2 linked regions of the Tamandua tetradactyla genome follow. The protein of the gene in region 1 purifies or fractionates together with the protein of each later gene. This does not show direct contact. Links are inferred from orthologs where the notes say so. Each region holds a gene or a part of one and is shown on either strand. Other genes may lie near its edges.

Evidence for each region.
Region 2: the proteins of CAPZA1 (region 1) and TNKS1BP1 purify together in Homo sapiens (affinity purification with mass spectrometry; 3 studies listed by BioGRID and IntAct, with this or other methods). This does not show direct contact. The link is inferred for Tamandua tetradactyla from reciprocal best matches to the Homo sapiens genes CAPZA1 and TNKS1BP1.

What each region holds. Positions count from the first base shown.
Region 1 is NC_135337.1:9,448,072-9,456,307, reverse strand, and holds the start of CAPZA1 (F-actin-capping protein subunit alpha-1), read left to right. Parts: upstream 1-4,973; 5' UTR 4,974-5,160; coding exon of another isoform or gene 5,161-5,275; 5' UTR 5,276-5,453; coding exon of another isoform or gene 5,454-5,454; 5' UTR 5,455-5,470; coding exon of another isoform or gene 5,471-5,471; 5' UTR 5,472-5,654; coding exon 5,655-5,693; exon of another isoform or gene 5,694-5,765; intron 5,766-8,236. Other genes in the region: ST7L (suppressor of tumorigenicity 7 protein-like), read right to left, coding at 2,880-2,962, 4,741-4,948. UniProt on the Homo sapiens protein: F-actin-capping proteins bind in a Ca(2+)-independent manner to the fast growing ends of actin filaments (barbed end) thereby blocking the exchange of subunits at these ends.
Region 2 is NC_135335.1:20,263,461-20,271,548, reverse strand, and holds the start of TNKS1BP1 (182 kDa tankyrase-1-binding protein), read right to left. Parts: upstream 3,271-8,088; 5' UTR 3,101-3,270; intron 2,375-3,100; exon of another isoform or gene 2,263-2,374; intron 1,884-2,262; exon of another isoform or gene 1,812-1,883; intron 1,411-1,811; exon of another isoform or gene 1,199-1,410; intron 1-1,198. Other genes in the region: FACT complex subunit SSRP1, read right to left, coding at 3,836-3,907, 4,125-4,311, 4,843-4,931, 5,135-5,305, 5,747-5,876, 7,251-7,296, 7,440-7,578, 8,009-8,081.

The sequences.
Region 1 (8,236 bases):
ATGTTTTGCTAAGATGAAACAAGTAAATTACACAAGCAGAAAATGTTTGTGACAGAAGAGGCAGAAGTACATTGGATCAAATTAGGGACAGTAATCACAAAGTGACAATAACAAATTGCCCTTTGCTATATGAAATGCAGGTGGTTTTTTAGGAATGAATATGATGTTAAAGGCTACTGAATTATCTCATCTTTTTAACATAAAGGAGCAATGATAATAATTGCTAATGTCTATCAAAAGCTTTCTATGAGATAGGTCCTTTACTTGCATCATGTCATTTAAGCCTCCTAACAACACATTTTTCAGATGAGGAAATACACACCAAGTTTAAATAACTCTGGTTTAAGTGGCAGAGCAGGGATTCTTATTCAGGTTTGTCTGACTTCAGAACTTCTAACCACTGTATCAACCAACTGCCTCCACCTGCCCCAGAAACATACTTCAGTGTATGTGTGTTTACAGGTTTGATAAGCCTAGGTGGCAAAATAAATTACAAACCCAATAACCTTTATTAATAAAAACCCATCGGTATTTCAAAGGCAATGAACCAGTTTAACCCTTAAGATGTTATTTGAATTTCCTAACTTTTGTACACTTAAAATCTGTTTTAAAAATAGTAAAAACAAAATTTTAAAATGGTTTTAGGGGAAATTAGGACTCAGAGAGTTTAAGTGACTTATTCAAAGTTATCACACTAAGAGGCAGGGTCACCAACCCTTCCGGTTCCAAGACCAAAGCTTTTCGCACTATATTAGCTATTTAAAGATAGTTATTTTCTTCATTTAGACTTTTATATGCTATTGGCAAAATATACTTAATTATGACTGGGTTTTATAAATCAATAAATTAAGGCTTATATTAACAAATAGTTTTATCCGGAATTCCTGAACAGTGTCTTTTTTTTAAGCCAAGAGTAAAATCCCTTTTTTGTCCAGCTTTTCACTTAAACAAAATGGGCAGAGTTAATCACTAAATATATCTATATAAAGCAGCAATACAAATACGATCATTTCTATTACAGCTGAAGAGCACCACCTAGAGATGAGAAAAAAGGACAGAAAAATTCATTGGCCAAGCAGCATAAAACTGCTTAAGATTTTTATCTGTAGCAGTATTTTTCCAAAGTTTACACTAGGGATGCTAATAGGAATTATAAAATAAAATTTTAAAATTTAATTAAAAATGAGCTCTTGGTCAAATAGGACAAGGAAAAACTGAATTACAGTTAAACTGGCTTCCCAGCTGCAAGTGGCATCACTGCTCTCCTCACTATGAGGGACATGATACACAGGGGTGAAAGTCTCCCTGGCAGCGTGGGTGATTACTCCCAGGGATGAGCCTGACCCTGGCACCGTGGGATCCACAATGCTATCCTGACCAAAATGGGAAAAAAGTGTAACAAATAAGGTATCAGTGGCTGAGAGAGCTCAAATAGAGAGGCTACACTGGAGAGTACTCTTAATGCAACCTTCAGTTAGACACTGCTACCTATCATAACTTGCCAAACCCCAACCAAAATCATTCCTGCCAATCTTACGGAACACCTAGATGTTATGTAAGATTCTTCAAAGTCTCCATGTACAAGGCTAACTTTCCAGAAACCTACAACCTCCAGATGGATCCCTGGAACTGATAAGTCCTGAAATGCAGAGGGGCCAGCCTCTTCAGAGCATCAACTAGGTCCATTCCCTTATCCCATATTTTCGACAATCCTTTCAACATTAAAAAGTTAGAATGGGCATAGCCCAAACATCCCTCAAGAGTGAGAGAAAGATCAAAGGTGATGGTGGAGTTATACAGAGAAGGTAGGGTAACAAATGAGTATGATTGCTGAATCATTATATTGATATTTCTTTTAGTCTCCAAATCTAAACTTGTGGAATTATAACCCATACCAAACTCTGAAATCTGTTCTATAATTAACTGTTGCAATGTGCTTTGAAATGTATTGCTTTTTTGTATGTATGTTATTTTTCACAAAAAAGAAAAAAGTCTATTGTGATGATTAATGCACAGCTATGTGAAAAGTAAATAAAAAGTAAAAAAAAAAAAAAAAAAAGAAAGGTTTAATTGGCTCCTTTATTGTGAACTTCTCAGAAAAATAATGGCCAAAATTCATTAAGTGCTCAGTCCGAGCCAGTCATGTTACAAGCTTTTACACATATTACCATATTTAGTCCTCATCAGCCTATGAAATGGAAACCATGATTACAGATGAGCAAATTAAGGCTTAAAAAGTTAATTAACTTGCTCAAAGTCACATACATACCAAGTAAGTGATGGGCAGCCTGGCTTCAAAACCTAGTCTTAAATACTCCAGAGACCATAACTGGCAGCCTAAAGGCTGAATTCAGGAGCAGGTAAATTTTTAGTCTGCTCAGTGTTGTCAACATTAAAATACTGGGAGATTCTATATAAAAATCGTATATCCAGATTTTTTAAAAAATCATTTGAAAAACTGGACGATCTGGGGATAGTGGAATGCAAATCTACATGGAAACAATTAGTTTTTATTCCTATTTTAGAAGGGGCATGCATTCGCCAGATTATTAAGTCCTCAAATTAAATAAGGAATAATTCTTATACCTTGCCTATTTTTGTTACCAAGCTAGGGTTCTGCAGACATTTTGTCTGCCACCCCTGCAGTACTGCATGTAATAAAGCCTTTAATATAGAAATGAATACTGACAGTTTCTAAGAGTGCTGAGGAAGATGCAGTTTTCCCCAAATTTATTTGAATAGGTAGCACTTTCTTCCAAAGGCTGAATACATTTTGGAAATGCTGAGCTATAAGCATTTATAATTATCATAACTATACAAAGGGATTTAGTCTTTGGATAAATACCAAAATGTGAATGAAGGAAATGGAAATTACTTACAAATATTAGTCCTGATATTAAAGATGACGTCCCTGTAAGTGCCACATAGAATTTGGGTGTCAGTGAATTTAAAAATACTGTCACTGTCAAAAGAAAAAAGAAACCAAAGTTTAAAAAATGCAAATTCAAAGTATTTAAATTAAAAATATGCAGGTGAGTTTATGGCTAGGGGGACAGAAGTAATATTAATATCTAGCATGAGATTCATTTGAGAAAGTTGTAATTTTTTAAAAAAGATCATTTAAATTCCCATCACTGTATATCTTAAAAATGAATTCGCACCCATAAAGGGTAACATTTTACACTATTGACTTGTTAAATAAGCAGCCCATCAAAATGAGATTCTTGAGCTTGCTCCTGAGAATAAAACTAAGAATTTATCGGTCATATTATGGACAGGAACTTCTGTTACTCTATAAGGGCAAGAAGCTAAACAAACATCCTTTCACAAAGGAGGTTTAAAACTACTTATTTTGGTGAGACACAAAACAGTGTCTCAAATTAGAATGATAGAATTCTGGCACAGTGAGGGTAGGAAATAGCGTATATACCTGGCATGTCAGAGAGACAAAAGAGCGCAAAGAGAAAAGCAATAAACTGAGAGCTCTCTGTCCCTGACTCATTGTGAAATCCAGAACCAGATTCTTCATGTCAAATAATTGTCTCATAAATTATTTTTTTTGGACACCGGACTTTACGAAGAAATAAAAATCTATCATAATGAAATATTCTCATCTCTATGGTATATCTAGTTAACATGAAGAAAAAGAATTAACTCAATAATTAACATTCAGAGGATACCAACCAGAATTAAGGATTTCATTCACCTGCTACAAAGAACAACCAATTAGCTCTTTCAAATAATCTAGGAAGGCCAGTTTATTTAACTGGTTTTAGTGTGTTAGTTACATCGGAATTTACATAATTCCCTTCTAAAAAGTACAAAATATTTCATAACATTATCTCAGTCTTTCATGTCATCTTATAGAAGAGGGGATAACTGCCTTCTCTTATTACAGAAAAACAAACTACTGCATTGATAAGCAAAGATATCACGTAACAGAAATATTTGCATATTGTTCTGGGGTGCTCTCAGAGCTCGAGTGGAAAATTGCAATGATACGGTGAGAGGCCCAAGGCCCCAACCACTTTATCCGTGGTACTGCTAAAGGACACTATCTACAGTATCCACAGATATTATCACTTCTTATGGGTCTTCCATATTCGGTCGAAACTACATTAACAAGCCCTCTACAAACGTTGCATGAACTAATGAACTGCTGTTTATGACTTACTTTCTGCATATTGCTTCATTATTTAAGATAAAGCCTACAACAAAAATATCACGAAAACTATTTCTTGGCAGGTCTATTCTAAAACATGAGAATGGTTCAATGAAAAGGCCATGGCCTTTTTTTTGTTTGTTTTTGTTGTCTGAATGTGAGTTCTTTGAGATCTCTGTTCATCTGTTTTTTGGATGTGGGCTTTCAGCTGGGTTACAGGAGACTCAATGGAATGATTTTGAGGGGATCCTATCAACGGTGGGATATGAATTCTGTAATCCAGTCTGAGAGGGCTCACTTCTGTATTACCACCTGCAGCATGTCAGGTGGTTTTCCTCGGGTAAACCAGGAAGGAAGAGAGAGGGAGGATCCTAAGAGCTCTAGGGAGGAGCCAGGAGCTCAGCTTAGGTTTCACAGCGAGGGGTTGCGGCTCAAGAGAAAAAGAATGCACTAGCCACGCATTATCCACTCATTCTTCAAAGCCCTCCAGTGACTACAGAGAATCTCTGCCCTTTGGCCCTCGCCCCGGCACCTATTCTGAATCCCTGCCCGTCCCTGGGGAGGTCTGGGCCTCTCACCCGCTGCCAAGTTCTCACACAGCCTCAGCGGGACCCTCAGAGCGTAAAGAAGCCCCAACCCCACCACGAACCACAGCGAGGCCCCAGTTCCCGCCAGCCCGGCCCGCAGCCGCTCCTTCCAGCCCAGCGACGAGCTCAGGCCCGGAGCAGATGCAGAAGGAGATGCTGCAGCAGTAGCGACTTGGCCCAAGCCGTCACCGTCCGCCATCTTGCCGTTTCCGCAGGCGCCGGGAGCTGGGGGGGCGGGGGAGAAGGGGAGGAAACCAGGAGCCGGGAATCCTGGGATAGTGGAGGACCTGAAGCTGGCCTATTTGAAGGTCGAGTCCTAGAGAACGGAGACGGATTTGAAAGGTGGAGGAATGTCCTAAGACTGAAGCTACAAATTCCTTCGGGGGTTGGGGAAGGGATGGATAGCGACACCTGTTCTGTCCACATCACTGGACAGAGATGTGACCCCGGAGTGGTGTTTTTGCCTACATAAGAGGTGAGGGTGATCTTTCACCCCATTCCTGGGGTTGGAAAAGCCATCGATCATTCCAGGATCCGAGCAGCGTTTAGCGCTTTGGACTCGGCTGCAACGGAGATCATTGGTGCCGGGAAATTTTACAGGAGTATAACTGCTATTTAGTCGGATGGACTTTAAAGCTCGTAACCCAAGAGCAGTTCAAACACGTCCCCAGCGTCGAAGAAATGAATGAGAAAATGGATGTAACTCAGAAAAATATTTCACTTAAAAACGACTTCCTGTACTACTGGCGCTCGGAACCACCACCTCCGCCCGTAACTAACATGGCGCTCCCTCCGTCGGCGTTTCCGGGCGGGTCCTTCGCTGGGCCCCCGCGGTAATTCCATCGCTCGGTTTTTTTCCCGGCCTGCCTCGCGCGGGTGGACGGGTTGGGCCAGAGGAGCCCAAGATGGCCGACTTCGAGGATCGGGTGTCGGACGAGGAGAAGGTAAGGGGTCCGCCTCTCTTTCTGTCTCTTTTTCTCTCAGGGAACAGGGGCCCGACCCGGCTGCGCTGGGAACCCTGGAAGTGTCCTCAGGTAATATAAGTTTATTGGCCCGTGCTGGTATAAACTCCACGCAGTTGGGACGCTTCCTTCTCAAGGGGTCTTCCTCTGCCTCACGGTGGCTCTATTTCCCCATTCCTCAACGCTCTCCTTTCCCTCCTGGGCCTGAGGCACAGCCCAGTAGCCTCCCTGCGAGGGTAGACACTCTTATTGAATCATGACTGTAGACACGTTTTTGTGATTATGGGAAAGGCATTGGTGATGTCGCGACAAATCAAGAAGCGGTTGTTATACTGTCTTCGGCTAGTAGGGTTCTCCCCATCCCCCCATTATTAGATATGATTGTGGCTAATTTAGGGCAAGTCACTTCCTGGTCAGGGTGGCCTCTTAACTTCCCTTTTGCTCCTCCTTCCTCAGGAAGTGATTTTGCTGTCACGACTCTTCGACAGAGAGATGTCCCCATGTGTTGTCCGCCTTACTGTATATCCATGTTTTCTCATATACTATCGGCTTTATTAATTCCTTGTAATAAAACGTGTAGGGTTTAGGGCATTTGCTTCAGAATCTAAACAACTATGTTTCCTGTACTTTTGGTTGCATATATGTAGTAGGTCTTACTTCTTCTTAGAGATAATTTTTGAAAAATAGTTTTCGGTTTCAGCTGTTTTTGTTAAAGAATAGCCAGCGGACCTTTGTAAAAGGCCAGAAAGATTTTACGTTGGCATATAAACCTCATGTTCTTACATTGAAGTCTGCACAGAGCATCCTACCTTCTTTATCTGATGTTTCACTGTGGTATCTGATTATAGTTGAATTTGTCGATGTGTAATTTGTGTATTTATTTTTAAAAAGTGTTAAATACAAAAGCATATTCTAGTTAGATGGAATAAATTTTTCCGAAAGCTGCATAACTTTCTTGACAATTCACCAGGCTTTTCAATAAATACATGATTTTAGGTCCTGTAGAAATTAGAAGTAACTCATTAGATAATTTGTCAGAATTGTGCACAGGAAAGGACAAGACTCATGTTTTTTGTTTCCCATAGCACCAGTTACAAAGTGTGCACCCTTGAATGCTCTGTAAATGTACCTGGGCTCTTTATTTTTTTATTTAAGAGATTTGGATAGGATGGGTGTACTGTTTATTAATCCAAGAGTCCCGCATACAAAATGGTATACCTACTTAATGGCATGCTATTTTGAAATGCTGAAAGATATGCTAAACATAAAAAAGCCATTGAACATTTTAGCATTAGTTTTCTCTTATGTGGAAATTCTCATAAATGTTAAATACAATTTGGGGAAAATAAAGGCATCGTATATGTGAATTTAGGCTGGAGAAAAACTGTAATAAAATGTTTATTCTAAGACAAATAGTTATGATTCATATAAAATTAAATTATGGTGAAAGTCAAGGCATAACAAAACCCCAACTTATGGCCCACTTATTTAAGCAAAAAAAAGTATTACAACAAAATTTCACTAAGAATTTAGATAACAATAAAACTTTGAAGTTTATTGTGCCCAAATGACATTTCATTGACCAATGTTGGGTTTTTGTCTTTGATGCTAGGTTAGAATGCTTTTTAAATTAAACTTATTATATATTTTTCAAAGTACAAATTAAGGTGCCCTTGAATATTGATAGTGTTTAATATTAATAGTCTTAATATTAATAGTCTCTGTTGTGTAAGATCTGTAACCAGTCTCATATTTTCCAGTATAGTTCTTCTGTGCTTAATTTTAACTTAGTAACATAAACTAGCACATCATTATTAGGTTAATCGACTCTCAAAAAGAGTTGACAAGTATTATATTCGATAAACAGTTTTTACATTAATGACCTCTTCATTAGTGTGAGTAATTAAAAGTAGATGTTATGGTAAAAATCTCACATAGCAAATCGATATGGAGTTACTTGACATTGTTAAGTCTTATTCCCAGATGGAGATGAAACTGATCCATTATCTGTTATGAATCTGTAAGTAAAAAGAAAGGGCTTTGACTTGTAAGATCTCATTAATTAGCTGTCTTTCAACTTCGTACCTGCTCTGTCTTTTCTTCTTTCAGATTGAATTCCACAATTTAGAAAGTATATCTCCAGTAAAGTCTTGTCTATATGAATGTGTTAGAATTCATGAACAATAAGTAACCTTTACATGGGATTTTTGGCCTGTTTGACTTTCCCAGCTAAGGCACAATTAAAAATTGATTTTAAAAATCAACATATTTTGTCTTAGTTTGTATTGTGTTCTTCTTAATGGAAATCAGAGTTTTTTCTCTTTTTAACTAAGACTTCAACTGCATTTGATTTGGGGTTTTTAAAGAATTTGTATGTCATGATTCTAAATATATCTTAATACTGCTTCTTGTTACATTTTTCTGAAAGCAGTACACCCTGAGATGCATTTGTTGATATTAGTCTCTGATTTCCTTTCGAGTATTTCTGTGAAAGCCAATAAAATCAACCATTCTCTTAACTAACT
Region 2 (8,088 bases), on another chromosome or scaffold:
GCTTTGGCTTCAGCTTGGAATTTGATGAGGTAAAGCCAGGGCCTGGTCCTGTTGCCATAGCAATGGCCTCCCACTGGATTTCCAGAGCCCAGCCAAGAGGAAGGAGAATGGGACAGGGCTTGGGAACATCCGGGGGGTGGGGTGGCTTGGGAGGAAAACTCCCTGGGGTTCCCCCTTCTAGGACAGTCAGGGTGGGACAGTCACAGCCAATGACAAGGCAGAATGTGGGCCTCTCACCAACCCAGTGTTGGCATGAAGGGGTCTTAGGGTGGGGGTCGGGGGGAGACAGCAGCTCTGGGGTAGGGGTCATTTGGGTAGCCCTTCTCCAAACCTGTAACGGGAGCTGAGGGATCTAACAGACCAGGGTTCAAACCAGGCCTGGTTCCACCACTTTCTAGCTGCAAGACCCTGGGTAGGTGGCTTTCTTTTCTAAACCTCAGTTTCCCTATCTGAACATGGGGGCTAGTAAGGCTGCCTGGAGGCTTAAGTGAGATAAGACATGCAAAACCGCTTAGCACAACCCAAGTGCACAGGAAGGAGGCCCAGTCAATGTTGGCCATTTTGTTCTTATTCCGTTTGCAATGTCACCAAGAAGCTTCAAAATCCCCGGGAACCACCTCATCTCCCCAGACCCCAAGCTGCCAGCATTCCCAGACCATTTCTTCATTCCCACACGCCCGCCTGGGCCATGTTACCTGTCCTCCAGATACTCCACCACCTCCTCAGTTCCCATCCCACCCACAAGAGCCCCCCCCCCCCACCCCAGCACTCCACCCTGGTACTCAGAGCCTTGGCCCTCTATTCAAAAGGAAGGGGAAGGGTTTCTATCACCTGGGACGTGCAACCTGTGAGGACAACCCAGCAGGAAGCATGTCCTCCCTGAAAGACATCCCCATTCCAGCGCGTCTGGGAAGATACCCCCAAACTCTAAGAAGCCACCTCTGTTGCCCAACCTTTGCCAAGCCCACCCCACCCACCTTGGCGGTGCCCCAGTTTGCTTCAGAGATGGGAGAGGGTGTGAGAAGGGTAGAGGGGAACCCAAGACTGCCAGCAGGGTCAGTCTGCCAAGGAGCACCCAGGCCAACCCGTGGGGGGCTGGGAGAATGGCCGTGCAGGGCGGCAACCAAGTGCGCGTGGAGGAAGGGCTCGTGGCAGAAAAAATAAAATTTAAAAACACAAGACTGTTTCCTTGTCCTTGAACGTTATTACAAGGGACATGGTGTGGGAGATTACCAATGGGGATGAACTGGCCCCGAAACGACAGATACTTTCAGCTGGGGGCCTGATAAGCTCCTCCAGGATGTGAGGGGCTGGCCCAGATGGGGGTCGGCCCACAGCGGCTCCGAGACCCCGGCCAGGGGACCCCAGGTGGTCAAGGCCCTAGTCAGAAGCTGCAGAATCACAGCGGCGGTGAGCACTCCCCAACCTCCCGAGTCCGGGGAAGACGAGCCCACCCTTGGGAGTGAAGGCCGCCAGAAGGCCTGAGGGTGGGGGTGGGGGGCACTGGGCAGCTCCAGCCCCGGGCGGGAGCCCCGAGGGGTCTCGGTGCGTGGGGGAAGGGTGGGGGGTGCGCCCCTACGGACCCTGGGATCTCCGGCCAGATGCCGGGCCAGAGAGGTCGCCAGGGACAGCGCGTACACTGCTGGAGGAGGGAGGACCAACGGCAAGACGGAACAGCCCGGGGCGAGGGGCCGTCTGGAGGGGCCCAGTGGGAAGCTCTGGACACAGAGGGGGCGGCGGCAGCCGAAGCGCAGGAGGAGGAGGAGGAGGAGCGGGCGGAGAAAGAGGAGGGGGCGACAGAGGCGGAGGACCTGTGCGCGGGATACCAAGCAGCCGGCGAGCAGACGACGGTCTGGGGACGCAGCCCGGGTGGGGGGCGGGCTGGGCGGCTGGGGGCGTGCCGAAGGAGCAGGGGCAGTGTGGGCCCCGGGTGAAGGGGAGATGGGGGGGGGTCGCCCCGGCAGCAACGCCCGCCCCCGGCCCCGCCCCAAGCCTTCGCCCCCTCCCCCTCCCCCTCCCCTCTGGCTCCGCCAGCACGAGCTCCAGCCCGTGCGCCCGCCGCCCCCATACACACGCGACTCATCTCCCCCCGGGCGCCCTGCGACCCCCGCGCCCCAGGCCCCGGCAAACTTTCCCGGCGAAGCCCCCTCCGCTCCAGCCGGGGCTCGGGCGGGCAGGCACCCACCCCCTCCATGCCCCTCCCCCGCCCCTGCCCCGGACCCCGCCCCTCCCTCGCGCTCCCGCCCGTCCCCGGTCACTCACGCGCTCCCCAGGGATCTGGCTCCGCTCGGCTCGGCGCCCCGACGCCAAGCCCCGCCGGCGCCGCCGCTGCTACCGCGGTCACCGAGGGACCGAGCTAGTGCGAGCCGCGGCGGGGCCCCGCCCCCGGCCCCGCCCAGGCCCACGCCCCCGGAGCGCCTCCTGAATATTCATGAGCCAAAGCAGAGCCGCGAGTGGGAAGCCGGTGCCGCGCTCGCACGGCCGGATGCAGACAGAGGCAGCCCCGTGCTCAATTATTCATGAACCCTGCGAATGAAGGGACCGCCCCGGGTCCAAGCCCCGGCGAAACTGACGCAATTCGGTAGCTAAGAGCTTTGGGCAAAATGGCCACCGAGACGGCTGCCTAGAGAGGACAGGAGACTGCCTTAGGACAGCCCAGGACTCAGCCCCAAGCCGCCTGTGCACATTGCAGTGCCATAGAGTCACGGCTACGAAGACGGTACCCGCTGGAGGACTAGCGAGGTTTCCTGTTGCGTCCTCCCGGGACTAGAAGCAACGTGGCCGCCCCACGTGCGTAAATTCACATTTATACCCACCGTAAGGACTTTAGCAGCTGTTTTCCCACGAATCCTCCTTATTTATTTCCTGTTAGGCTCTCTTCCTAGATACAGGTACTTTCCAACCCCCAAATTTAGGATTCCTCCTTCCTCCAGTAAGAACAAAAGCTTCACACATTTCACACCTTCCCTGCACCCCCATGAGGCGCGCACACCGCCCCCCAACACCCATCACTCCTCCTCCCCCAACTCTCCAGGCTCAGATTTCCACTCCCCCTCACCCCTACCCTTGTAGGGAGGCTGATCAATCCTGATTGAATTACCTAAAATCTTGGAAGACCCTTGACTCATAGGTGATGAAGGATGGAGCCAGGAACTGCCTCCCATCAGCCTGGCTAATGGAGTGGAACTGTGAGCAAGACTTCCTAATCACATCAGCTCTCATTTCTATACTCTCAGGTGGCCCATTCTGGCAGAAGAGGTTGAAAACCAATGCTTGGCCAGTCGGGAACAGGACAGGATGTACCTGGAGACCTGCTTCCCAGCTGGCCAGCAGGCCTGCCCAATCAGGGCACTGCAGGAGACAACACCAACAGTAGTAGGGCCAATGCAACAGGGCCAGAGAGAAAGCATAAAAACATGGTTTCCAAAGTCAGTTCCCTTTATTAAATGTTTTTTTTTCACAGACCAGAAATACAAAATAAATGTAGAAATATGCCCCAGTTAGGAGCTACAGGCCTAACCTCACGCGACCCCTGCTGCAGCAACTTGAACAGGATAAGCAGCAGCGAGTATCCCTAAGGCTGAGGAGCTGGACCCCACATTGCCCTGCCTCCCACCCAGTGTCTTCCCAAATTATAAAGAGCCAACCTTATGAGGGAGCAGAGTAAGACGCCTCCCCTGCTGCCCCAGTGAAGTGCGTCCAACCAGGAGAGCTTGTGCAGATGGCACAGAACTCCAAGGACTACATTTCCTGTCAGGAGAAAACTGGTACTAAAGCAGGGATGGGAGACTGGTGGTGCGACAGGACAAGCAGAGAAAGAGAATGTTCCTCCTCTTTAGTCATCGGATCCTGACACCGAGTCTTCTGAGCTGGGGGGAGTACTGGCTAGTTCCTCTTCTTCAGAATCCTGAAAATCAAAGGCCTCTTAGGGGGAAGGGTACTGAGTCCTGGCTGCCCTCCCAGCCACTTCTCAGTAGCGAAGGGCCCCCAATCCACCTTCCATCCGCCTTCAGAACCTCAGAATTCCACTCATTCACTCAACCTCCTTTACGCTTACAGACCAACCACAACACCTGGCCCAGGAACATCCCCCCGGATGCCGCTCACCACACACTCCCACACACCTCACTCCGCCTCCTCTTCTTTTTGCTTTTGTTCTCTCCTGAAGAGCTTTCGTCACTTGACACAAACTCTTTACTCTTAAAGCTTTCACTTAGCTGCTTGGATGAAGACTTAGACGATGAGCTCCTAGAGGGCATGGATTTTTTTTCCATCTTTACCTTTACTTTCTTCTTCTTTTTTGACTTGTCCCTGTATTAGCAAGAGGGGAAAAAAGGGGTCGGCCTTCAGGCTCCTTCCCATCATCGCCTAGGCCAAACCTCTCCTGGTCTTAAGAGGGCCCTTTCCCAATCCAGGCAATGTTGCCCAATTCACACGACATAAACTGTCAGCCATGTTAGTCCAAAGTGTCCCAGGGAGAGAATCCTAAATGAATACACCAGAAGAAATGGGTCACAGCTTGAAGCAGTTCCACCTGCAAAACTTATCATCTTGAACAAATACATGCACATTTTGCATTATGTTCCATTATAATTAAAACAAACAAACAAAAATGTTCCTTTACACCTTCAAATAAAATCGACCATCCAGGGAAATAGTCCATGTTTATCCGGTGGCTTCAGCAACCCCCGAGAGCACATTAACCTTGCTTGGGAAGCTGCCCACCCCCAGCTTTGAGAAGTACTGCCAGTCAAATATCTGTAACATCTCCACTTTCAACTCTGACCTGCAGAAATCTCTGCCAAAAAAAAAAACAGATGCCATTTTGTTCCAGAGACTCACCTCTTAGAAGACTCGCCCCGGCCCCCTTCATAGTCTTTCATGGCTTTTTCATATTCCCTCCTGGCATCCTCAGCCTTGCGATCCCACTCCTGTCACTCACACACACACACACATGTGAGAGGGTAGAACAGAGAATGAGACCTCTTCCCCCATGGAGGCAAAACATCCTCTACAGAAATTTTCCACCAATGGCCCAAGTGTGCCCCCTGTCCCAATTACAAGACCCTCACCCCACCCCACCCCAATAAAGCCCTTCTCGCCAGCCCTGTAAACCCTCCCCTGTCTCTGCTACCTCTTTCTTCTCCTTGGACATTCCCTTCCAGATCTCGCCCGCCTTCTTGGAAAGATCGGTGATGCTGATGCCGGGGTGGTCTGACTTGATCTTCTCCCGGCTGGCGTTGAGCCACAGCATGTAGGCGGACATGGGCCTCTTGGGCGCATTGGGGTCTTTGCCTTTTTTCGCCTACACGAGGGAGGATCCAAATGCCTCCAGACATCCACTTCCCAGACACTCCCCGCCCCCCCCATTCTCCCACAGCTATTACTTAGATTACCTACTTGGGTTTAAAAAAAAAAAAAAGGGGGACCAAAGAATAGCAGGCCACAAAGAGCTTCCCGAGGGTGGGCAACAGCACGGCTTCTCCCCTCAGCATTCCAGTGCCTAGCTCCGTAGGGGCCCCCTTTTCTCTGGGCCTGACCCCTGATTCACATGGCCCAGGAGCTAAACTTTACCTCAAGGGCAAGGACCAGAGAGAAAAACTTCCAAGAAGATAACCCTCAATGCCCTAATCACTGGCTACACAAAAGCAGCCCCAGGATGGCCGATCGGCAAGTTCTGTTGGCGGCAGATGGGAAGTGGAGAATGGCTCCCCTCACACCCTCCCGTCTAGAGCCAAGTCTGCACCTCCACAGGCTTCTTGCGACTCTTGCGATCCCTGGCCATTTTGGCCTTCTTGAGCTGTTTCCGCTTCTTCTCCTCCCGGTCACTGTCGCCCTCGTTACTGGAGGAGCTGGCAGAGGCGTTGCTGTCGAATCTGCCAAAAAGAGCGGGACTCAGATTCAGGAAGGGAAGGCAGCACCCTGCAGCCTCAGGACAGGAGGAACACAAATCCAAAGACCCCTGCCTAGAAGAGAGGGAGAAAGACCGCAGGGCAGCCTCTACCACCGATCGCCAGCCCTGCCTCCTCCCCTTTGCTGAGGGGGCTTCAGCCATCTTCTCCCCAGTCCTAGCCATGGTAACTGGTTATTCGCTCAATATGTTAAAAACCAAACAAGCCAATGGGCTCTAGCTGCTTTCCTTAGTCATCGCCTAACCCGGTCCCTTCTCCATCCCACACTCCCAGACAGAAACGTCGCCTCATACTCGTCCAGCACGTCAGCACTTCCTTGTGGTTAATCATCTTCATCTACCCTCTAGCCTTTGCTGATGAAGGCTGAACTCTGTTGCTACCAGAAGTGGGAAAGGCCAGCCTCAGTTCCACCCACGTAGTTAACACCTGCCCAAATACAGACAGAACTCCTCAAAAGATGATGCTTACACCTGTGGGTGCTGCAAAGTCCTCAAGGAACTTTCATAAGCTTCTGCTCACTCACCTTCCTAAGGATGGGGCAAGCAGTGCTAGGAGACATCAGTATTTCTGCAGCCCAAATATTCATTCCCAATACTTGTGGATTAATACAGTCTCAATTTTCTGTTGAAACTGCCTCTCCCATACTCAGAAGGGGCTCACCCCAACTGCAGGCTCTAAAGGCCCTGCACACCCTGTTATCTCAGGCTCAGGAAAGGGTATGTGACCACACTGCTCACTACCATTGCTCTGAGAGAAGGGGCACACTGGATGCTAAACCAGTAAGACTAAGCCTGCCCACAGCTGCTGGAGTCCACTTGCGACTGCATGAGGCAAGCTGCCTAGAAATAAGGAAGCCAAAAAGCAAGAAATACAAACAGATTCCCCACAACTTTTGAAGGCCAGGTCCAGTAGTGCCTGATACAAGTTATATCCCTGCACTCTCTAGTTACGTGAACTTATAAAATTCTCTCTTACACTTAAGCAAGTTCGAGTTGTATTTCTGACACTAACAATCAAGAGTCTTGGCAAAAAAAAGCATGGAGGGACTTACTGTCATTTTACAGATGATGAAGCTGAGCCTTCATGATTTACCCAAAGCCACCCAGTTGACTCCCATTCCAATCTCTCCCCACTGTGCTGTGCTAGCTTCAAAATGCGCCTTGCACGTACAAGGGCCCTGACTATTTTTGAAGCACCTCTCAAGTGACCTTGCTGGACACTCCTTTTCTGCCCTGGGTCAGTGGCTAATGCTGGGACAAGAGAAATGCCCACAAATCTTCTCGACTCTTAAGCTTACAGGCCACCATCTCACCCCCACAAGGCGCAACCAAAACCTACTCCTCTGCCACGTCTTCTTCCTCTTCACCTGGGTTGAATGACTCATCTGAAAGAGAGTAAGGGCTGCATCAGCTCTGTCCTGGTGGAAACCCCGCCCCCTCACCCAGACTCCCAGCTCTGGCCCAGGGTGAGCCCAGGTCTGGCTCAGGGAGAGCAGTCTGACTGCCCCCTGCCCTCCACACTGCCCACCAGTTTCTTCTCCTGAGTCGTCACTGCTATCATTGGCATTCTCTTCCCGGATCTTGCCCTCCTCCTTCATTCGCTCCAGGTAGGCATCGTGCTGGTCTTCGTCCGAGTCGGCATATTCATCGTAGCTGGGGTTCATGCCCTAACCAGGAAGAGCTGGGCGTGAGGGTCCAATTCGCCCTCTGCCCAGAACCGCTGCACCCTCGACAACACGCCCCCGTGCCTGTGAGTAAGATCAGAAAAGCAGCTCCCAAAAAACCCTGGGGCTGGATTATCCACACACAGCCAACATGCAGGGCCTGCGCCCCAGCACTTCCTGCCAGCTGGGTTAGTCCAAGCTCCTCCCTCTCCCAGCCCCACCAGGAGCTCCTGATGGGCTACAAAAACTGATCTAAGACCATGCTAAGGAAACCTGCACCAGGAAGGGGAAGGGGTCACACGCACCTCTTTTTTCTATAAAGGCAAGAAGAAAAGAAAGAGTAAAAAAGAAGCCAGAAAAACCCCTGTCCCTTTCTTTCCCATATAGAGAGGACAGGGGAAGAGGCTCATCCTTTCCACACACAGAGACGTACCTCTTTTAATCCCCGGTTTTTGATGTTGAGCTTCTTTGCGTTGACAAAATCAAACAGCTTCCCATACTCCTCCCTGCGGG